2 linked regions of the Daphnia pulex genome follow. The protein of the gene in region 2 interacts with the protein of the main gene of each other region in a pairwise test. Links are inferred from orthologs where the notes say so. Each region holds a gene or a part of one and is shown on either strand. Other genes may lie near its edges.

Region 1 (4,227 bases), on a different chromosome or scaffold from region 2:
TTTCGATCGGATTTACTTTTAAGGAAACCAAATTGTCAAAACCAACTCTGAATCTTGATTGAATGAACGAAGGCTACTGCAAACCCCCTTTTTTTTCTCAAGAAAAGCAAGAATGGTGTGCCAAGAAAAGGACAGATAAAAAAAGTTCAGCGAAAGTTGTCGAAATTCGTACCTTAGCGGCTACTCGATTGGAATCAGATATAGAAACAGGCTAGTATTTCCAGATTTGGTCCATTCTTAAATCTGAATAGATTCTGAAAGTTGGTTCACCTGGAAGGGGCAAATGGGCAAAACTGTTGGCCAGCACATCGCGCAGGCTGTCGAGGTGATGCTGTAGCGCGGCGCTGTGTCGTCGCTGCTGCTCTGTTTCCGCTTCCAGTCGACTGACGGCCGCTTGAAGAGTCTCGACGTGCTTCCGCAGGGCGCTATTCTGCTCCTCGTACTCGGCTGAAGCTTTCCGCAGCTGCCGCAGCTCTGTTTCTCGGACTAAGACGGGGCAGGACCATTACAGGGTTGTCAAGGGTTCAAAGGAATTTCTTTATGATTTGAATGGAATGGTAGTCCAGACAAATTTTTGGTGTCAACGGAAAAAATTCCGATTCTACTTGGCTTTGGCTCAATAGTTTTAAAATAACCAATGTGTCATAATCTTCGGCAACTTAAACAGCTAAAAATCTTACTTGAGCATGCAATTTTGTACTTTTTCATTACCCTAAGAAATCACTACCATCACAATGGCATTGTAAACCCAGCAATTTCTTTTATTCATTCCGTAAAAACTTTGGAATAAGCATAAAATCCCACACTTATTTTTATCACTGAATACACGCAATCTTAAAACATTTCCCCATGAGATATACTCAAATCCTTCAAAGTATACATTGGTGGTTAAAAAGTTATGGATCAAATCCTTTTCACAAAACAATTAAATTTCTTGCATTGAAGAAGGCCTGCACCCCAGTCGCTACACGAGAAAATGACACATCGGCAGCTTAGCTCGTTTAGCATCTACTATTGAATCATTTTGAAAAGCCACATCAAACATAACAGGGTTAGAAGGAAACGGTTTCAAGGTGATGGGTAAGAAGGAATAGCCAGACCCATGCATTGGTGCAATGCTCACTAGATTAAAAATAGGCCAAGATCCATCACACTGCCTACAACTGTAACTTTTCTTTTTTACACGCCTTGAGCGTAGTGTACGGCTAGAAGGCAGTGTGGTGGAGTCTTCTTAACTATAAGAGCCAAAAACTTGTCCTACACAATACATCTTAATTGAGATCCTTCTTTTGTTTTTTAAGAAAACCAGTTTTTTTTAATCTATTTGTTTTTGAAACAAAAGGTCCTTAACAAATCAAATTCTAACTAAATGAACAACATAAAAATAATGCATTTCCATTTCAAACTACACATAGAAATTTTATTAAAATAATCGTACCTTTGTTGTGATCGAGAAATTCTTCCGTGAAGATGGGAATGTCGAACACACCGACTTGATTTCCTGACCCATCAGGACGGTGACCAGCGGCATTGTTACTTCTATCGCCATGCTGTTGATGTTGCCCTGGCTGCATATGTTGGACAATATGCAACTGGGGGTTGTAACTCTGGATTTGTTGAATGTATGGCTGAGCCTGGACTTGGCTGTGAGATGAATGTGCCGCCGGTTGTTGCTGTACATGACGTGTGTTTTTGATAAAAATTAATGTACACAGATAGAAGGAAAAACCAATGTTACCTGTGACTGAGATTGATGAGTAGCTTGCATAGCTTGTCTTTGTTGTTGTTGCAAATGTAATTGTTGTTGAACATGTTGCTGTTGTTGCTGTTGAACATAGCTTTTGTAAGCTTCTGTCTGTTGATATTCTTGCAATTCTTTTTGATAGCGTTGACGGTCCTGTTCAGCAGCTTGCATATATTTTTGCTTTTCCTCAGCAGGTAGTTGAGTCCATTCTTGGGCCATTATTTTCATAATATCAGCAAAACCTGCACTTGGATTGGCAGCTCGTACTTGTTCTCTTCTTTCGTTTAGGAACCGTACATAACCTGCAAAATTAAAAATGTTTAAAATCAATGGAATGCCCTATAAGTAACTGAATAAAGTTGAAGTAAAATCAAAGATGCTCAGAAGCAAATATGTCTAATAGTTAAATTTAGAGTGAACAAGGACAAGAATATCTATACCATTAACAGGTTGACGAGGGGCTCCTGGACCAAGATCTTGATTCCTTTTCCTCTTTTTACTTGTTTTGCCTGCACCTCCTCCTCCTGCACTACGATTTTTAGTGGTTGGTTCTGGATTTGTGTGCTGCTGGTGCATATTGGTTGCATTAGACTGCTGGTGATGACCTTCCATTACTTATACCTGGAAATGTTTACAAATCATAAGTTTAGACCATTAAATTTTGAAACTTAAATATACAACAAGACAAAACGCAAATTAGCAAGCTATCAGGGGGAGGTAAAAGACTTAATAAATTCAACCTAATCGATATGCGTCACTTTTGAACGCCATTAAACCGATGTTGTTGGTGGTCCTATTTACTGGTCAGTTGCACCTCCAAACCAAGATATTTAAGACTTAATATAACGTATAAAACCTGTTACCTCGAAGAGTAATGCATGTAGATCAGAAAAAGGCCGAGATTTCAGATAAATTGTCTAAATTCGGAGGGTAAAAATTCCGACCACGAAAGGCAACACGAGGCGAGGTCGAACAAGAAAAAGCCAAGCAAGCAAGCAGCGTATCACAGCGTATGCCTGGACTTCAGAACCCTCTTCTTACCGGGATGCGCCAAATGAAACGTTGATACATACATGCCTTCTAGCTAGGCTTCACTTTCCCGCCATTTCTGAACATTCTTTATTAAACAAAATTGTCATTCGTTGAAATCTGCGATTTCTTTTTAATTACAAGTTTTCAATGAAATATGTGTTCGAATTATATTGTTAAGTAAAAAGTATAACCAGAAGAAGCTTAAATTTGATTTTCTCCGCGTCAAAAATCACATGTACCTAGATGGAGTGTTTTCGATGTCGAAAACTCGAAATTACATTTGCTAATCGTGAATTTTTTTTTAAAACGGAATATCATCGAATTAGAAATGTGCAGATAAAATTGCAGCTAGGAACAGTAATCATATTCTACAAATGTAATTGAAATCAATCTGCTCCCTAATTTATTTAATTAACAGATAGTCCACGCACATTTTGCTGGCAATTTTAAATAAGCAGCATTTTCGTAATTTTCGTTTGTATTCATTTACAGATTTGGTTACATAACCAACGTAAATATTGTCTTTTATACCATTGCTATTCAGAACTACGAGTAAAAAGAAAGCGAAGATTACCCAATGAAGAAATACATTTTGAAACACGACCTGTGTCATCATTTTATTTCGTAAGCTAAGCAAATAGCATGTAGACACAGCAATAACGCTGGTTATTATACTCATGGTGCAATACCTTATTACCTTGCGATTCTCACGAGCGGAACCGTCTAATATAGATATTAGAATACAATCGTCAAGTTTGCCGGAATTCATAGACTACAGGCGAACGGCAAACCTTAGAGCTTAGACTTCAGAGGATCCGGCTTTATTTTTAAAAATAGAAATAAATTGTAGCTAGTCCTGATCTTCCCCCAACCAGGTATCTTTCCCCCAGGTCAAATTTGTTTCAAGACCCTTTGGGCCTTTGTTCTCCTTCACTAAACAAAAGACACCAGCCGTTCAATGCATTTTAGGTAGACTGACCGCTGCTTGAAATTTCCAATCACGTTCTTTCTCCAAGCTAAGAAAAAAAAAAAAAACTTTACAATGGGCGTTGGACGAAGATGTCTTCATACTCGAGTTGTTGGAATAAATTATGACATATTTTGAAGGGAATAATACATATAACAGTTCGTAACACTAGTTTAAGCCTCATGTACTATTTGCAGAAAACATCTTGATTCAATGGAGGGTTTCATTTTAATTTTAATTTCGAAGGAATTTAAAGGCCATAAAGGAAAAACAATTCTAGCGGAAACCCATGGGTGTTCTACTCAAAATCTTTGAATTTGTTTGTTTGAAAAAAAAAATGAAAATAAACAAAACAACGCACTGATGGAGCCAGTTTTATTTTCAGCACTATCCCATACGGGCCGCATTTTGCCTATAACCTAGAAGAATAATACGTTTACATTTTCATTAGTTTTAGTTTAGTTTTAACTTATAAAGGACTGTA
Region 2 (3,974 bases):
GGGAAAACACCTACTTTAGAACCTGTTGATAAAGGATGGGGAGAAGGATTTACTATCAAAAGTTAGAAATTGTTGGAAAAATGAAATGTTTCAATATGGTTCCGGCGGATTAAATCTATACTTTTTTGTATGTTGTATTACCGTGTTATTAAACATAAGCGAATACGTATTTTAAAAGACATTGTCATTTGTTGAACGAAAGGATGATTGTGGGGGTGACTTGGTGGTTCACTTGCCACGTTTCTTATTCCTGGCACCTTTGCTACCATCCAGCGAGGAGCGCGATGGTGATTGGGGCATACCCAGGACGACTTGTCCGCCCTCCAGTTCAGTATTTTTAAATTTCTCTTGCGCTTCGAAATAGAGCATCACGTCTTGGAGCTGTTCCTGCAACTCGCGGACACTAGTCTCCTTTTCATCGCGAATTTTCTGTACTTGAGTCTCCAATTGGGCGACTCGCTGATGCCATGATGATTGATTATGAGTGAGCGACCGATTCAACTCTTTTTCTTCTTGCAAATCAGCGATCGCCTTGGTTAATTTGGCTGCCATCTACAAAATATTGATTTAAACTGGGATGCCATGATTGGAAGGAAATTTGGGTTACCTTTTTCTCTTTCACTTTGAGTCGTTCATTTTCCTTGACTGTCGATTTCACCTTTTCCTTAATTTCCTCCCGCTAGGAAGTGATAGGAAGTATTTGACTAAGTAGAAAACATAATAATAACAAATTGATAATTGTACCTCTTGTCGATGTTGCTGTTCGAGACGATCAATTATTCCTTCAAAGTGAATTTTCTGTGAAGCAAGTTGACTCTGAAGAAGATACAAGTACTCTAATTGGACAGAGTCCAACTTTTCTTCATGTTCCATGTTGTTCCCTTTGCCTGAATAGCGACCAAAAGAGTTGAATCGATAAAACAGTAAACACGATTTGCATGTGTTGTTTACCAGACTGCTGCCTCCGACCACTGCTGTTGCCTTCGACTTCAACTAATTTTCCATCTTCGTTGTTCTGGAGCAAACGATGGACAAAGTTATCGCCAACATAGTCCCAAACACGAGTATTACCCAACTGCATCGCGTAGCAATGCTGCGTTTCCAAGAAATGGCTAACATAATAAGAGGGGATCAATTATCATTCATTAATTATGCCACTTAAGCTACAAATTATGATAATCTTACTGATATGCGTGGCCTTCCACGTATCTCCCGCAGCCCACATGACCGCAAATCAAACAAATCCAGAGTGACTCGTTGGATTTGCACTCAGAACAGCAACTTTCGGCAGCCATTTCAGGAGATTGCAGGTATCGGCACACAGGACATCTAAAAAGAAATCAATACCGCCAGAGATTATGATCAATATTTCGGAAACATAAGCCAATAAGCGTTTTTTTTTACGTCGTGTCTCCCCATTTGGCAAGGCATGCTCCGTGAAAGCTATGGTTACATAAAATGGTCAGAATGCCATCTACTGATTCGTCCATCCGTTCCAAACAAACCGTGCAAATGGGTAGCTCAGTCATTCCGGTCATTGGCGGACCGAAACCACCTCCACCCACAGTAGTGTCTCCGCAAATATCAACTTTTGCAACATAGACAATGTGGCAATGTTCCGATTCAATCGAATTGTAAGGCGTACCATTGAATGTCTTGTAACACTCGTCAGCCTCTTCCTGAATTCAAGAAATCGACGATGAAGAGAATTCATTTGCAATTCGATCAATATCTCATTTTTTACCTGACTACGGAAAAGTACCAAGGCCATGTACTGGTTGGGGGTTTTATCTCGAATGATTCGCACTCTTCTGATGCCAGGGCAACAGGGTGCAAGGAAATTGAGTAAGTCGTGGCAGCTCAGCCAAGCAGGGATGGCCAGCATGCATATCATTTGGCTACGAGGCACATCCATTTCCAATGAAGTCATGTGACTAAGAAAATGAAGACAAATGAGTTCAGTTGATTCCATCACACATTTGGAAAACTTACTTTTCTTTGTAGAAATGCAGAATACCCTGAACTTTCTCCACAAATGGATTGCCAGAGAAGAAACTTAATTGATCCTTGGCAGTGATGGCCTTTTTACGATCTGATAATTCTGAATGAGAACTTCCAGAGGCAGATCCGGTCTCACCATCACCAGTGGCTGTCGACAGTGCAGGAGAAGGTTCTTTGCTTGTACTCGGCAATTCTTGGTCAAACGAACTGTTGTTGGACAAGGTTCTTACTTTACTGGCCTCTGAAGATTTCCTATTTTTCCCTTTTGTCATTTCCTAAATGGACAAATTGTGGTAAAATCAACAAATATATGAACATGTTGATAAATGATTACCCAGGGTCCGATCTCTGTGTTGTCATTCTCATAAGTTTCCATTTCAATTGTTTGCAGTTCTCTTTTACCTCTGCCCTTACCAGCTCTTTCTCTTTCCCAGGTTTCTGCTTCGGGCAGCCTCTCTTCTGGCTTTTCTTTTGAACTACCTTCCATTGCCAAAAACTGAGGGGCTGATGATTAAAAATATAATAATAACAAAATACAATCGAGATGGCAAGACAGACCCACGTACCTAAATAGGTGAGCTCCTTGGGGACAATGGAATCACCTCCTAGTTCGAGACGGAAAGCGCACAGAGAAACGGACATATCATTAACATGATATTTAGATATGCATAAAATTACAATTAATTGCTTTGTAACTATGAATCAAATTCTTGTAGAGGACCAGGAAAAATCGACACAGTTTCTAGGAGATGACGAATGACTGATGGACTGATTGACAAAAGAAAACAAACGGAAAATAGTGACATCTAGCGTGAAAAATGTAGACATCTACAACAGTCAAGTCGAATAGACGGAAAAATCAAATAATAAAAAATTGAAATAAAAGATAAATAATGAAACTAATTTAAATCGCCTAGACGCCTACAATGTTTAAAAATAACTATATTTTATAAATAATCCTTATCATTTGATGCAGGCGCTGTAAGTAACATTGTTAGTCAAAACAATGTTACTCGTGTATCGTTATAAAAGAACATTTTACAAGACAATATCGCCAGAGGATATCCCTTGTCTTTTTTGTTTTAATGTTGAATCTGCTTCCTCTTCCAAGAGATAATGATGCTTCTCCGGTCTAGCGAACCCTTTGGAAAAATTCGTTAGTAGTTTTACGGATGCATTCCACCGTGGGTGAATGTAAAATTTCCCAAATCATGAAAATCCTAGTCGTTAGTCTTCTTCTCTTCCTTCAGGTAAAAATCGATTGATTATTATTATATTTTGTCTGTCGTCAAAAATGTGAATTGAAATCAAACAAGGGTATCCAATCAGCGCCGTGGTCTCCGTCTTGTCCTCACGAATGCTGGTGTCACGAATCCTACTTGGCCAGCATAGTCGACGAATGGCATCCACTCAATAAAATGCAGCCGGATTCATCCGCCAGCCCCAATAGTAGCGCCCCTAATGACCTATTATTCCGTGCCGTAATTTGTGTCCAACAACATGACACGGAAATTGAAACCCTATTGGCCCGCTTGCCGTTTCAAACCGAGGTTCGTTGGAATACCTAAATATCCTTCAATAACCGTGTCTAATGAATTTGAAATGAATTCTTAATAGGCCATGAAGATCATCCAAGCATCTGACGCACCGGAAATCCGCTTGACGGCCACTCATTTGTCGAAATTTATCAACTTGAGAGCGCTGGGTCTCGAAGGATCTGAACAACAGGAGTCTAGTAGTGCGCCATCAATCATTTTACATTCGGATAGCCTCAAATCTTTGATTCAACTTCAATATTTGAGTCTTGTCAACTTGGAATTGCTGGATCAGCCTTCGCCGGAACCGGTCACGGTGGTCGAAATAGCCGACGAACAATCAGCCCCTTCACAAAAGTTGACGTATGACATTCCCGAAGAAATCCTGCCTTACGAAGAGTTCAAAAAGTTGCACCAACAAATGGAACTAAGCGTTCC

The links.
Region 1: the proteins of BRCA1-associated protein-like (region 2) and high mobility group protein 20A-like interact in a two-hybrid assay, tested with the Homo sapiens proteins (2 studies listed by BioGRID and IntAct). The link is inferred for Daphnia pulex from reciprocal best matches to the Homo sapiens genes BRAP and HMG20A.

What each region holds. Positions count from the first base shown.
Region 1 is NC_060024.1:7,607,503-7,611,729, forward strand, and holds the start of high mobility group protein 20A-like, read right to left. Parts: upstream 2,801-4,227; 5' UTR 2,608-2,800; intron 2,366-2,607; 5' UTR 2,357-2,365; coding exon 2,185-2,356; intron 2,047-2,184; coding exon 1,739-2,046; intron 1,674-1,738; coding exon 1,439-1,673; intron 1,123-1,438; coding exon of another isoform or gene 965-1,122; exon of another isoform or gene 744-964; intron 487-743; coding exon 271-486; coding exon of another isoform or gene 212-270; exon of another isoform or gene 173-211; intron 1-172. UniProt on the Homo sapiens protein: Plays a role in neuronal differentiation as chromatin-associated protein. Acts as inhibitor of HMG20B. Overcomes the repressive effects of the neuronal silencer REST and induces the activation of neuronal-specific genes.
Region 2 is NC_060025.1:1,544,495-1,548,468, forward strand, and holds BRCA1-associated protein-like, read right to left. Parts: upstream 2,801-3,974; 5' UTR 2,644-2,800; coding exon 2,568-2,643; intron 2,506-2,567; coding exon 2,336-2,505; intron 2,277-2,335; coding exon 1,993-2,276; intron 1,935-1,992; coding exon 1,745-1,934; intron 1,680-1,744; coding exon 1,405-1,679; intron 1,330-1,404; coding exon 1,186-1,329; intron 1,113-1,185; coding exon 952-1,112; intron 888-951; coding exon 745-887; intron 680-744; coding exon 608-679; intron 553-607; coding exon 229-552; 3' UTR 110-228; downstream 1-109. Other genes in the region: 2-oxoglutarate and iron-dependent oxygenase domain-containing protein 2-like, read left to right, coding at 1-66; carboxypeptidase N subunit 2-like, read left to right, coding at 3,174-3,251, 3,318-3,551, 3,619-3,974. UniProt on the Homo sapiens protein: Negatively regulates MAP kinase activation by limiting the formation of Raf/MEK complexes probably by inactivation of the KSR1 scaffold protein.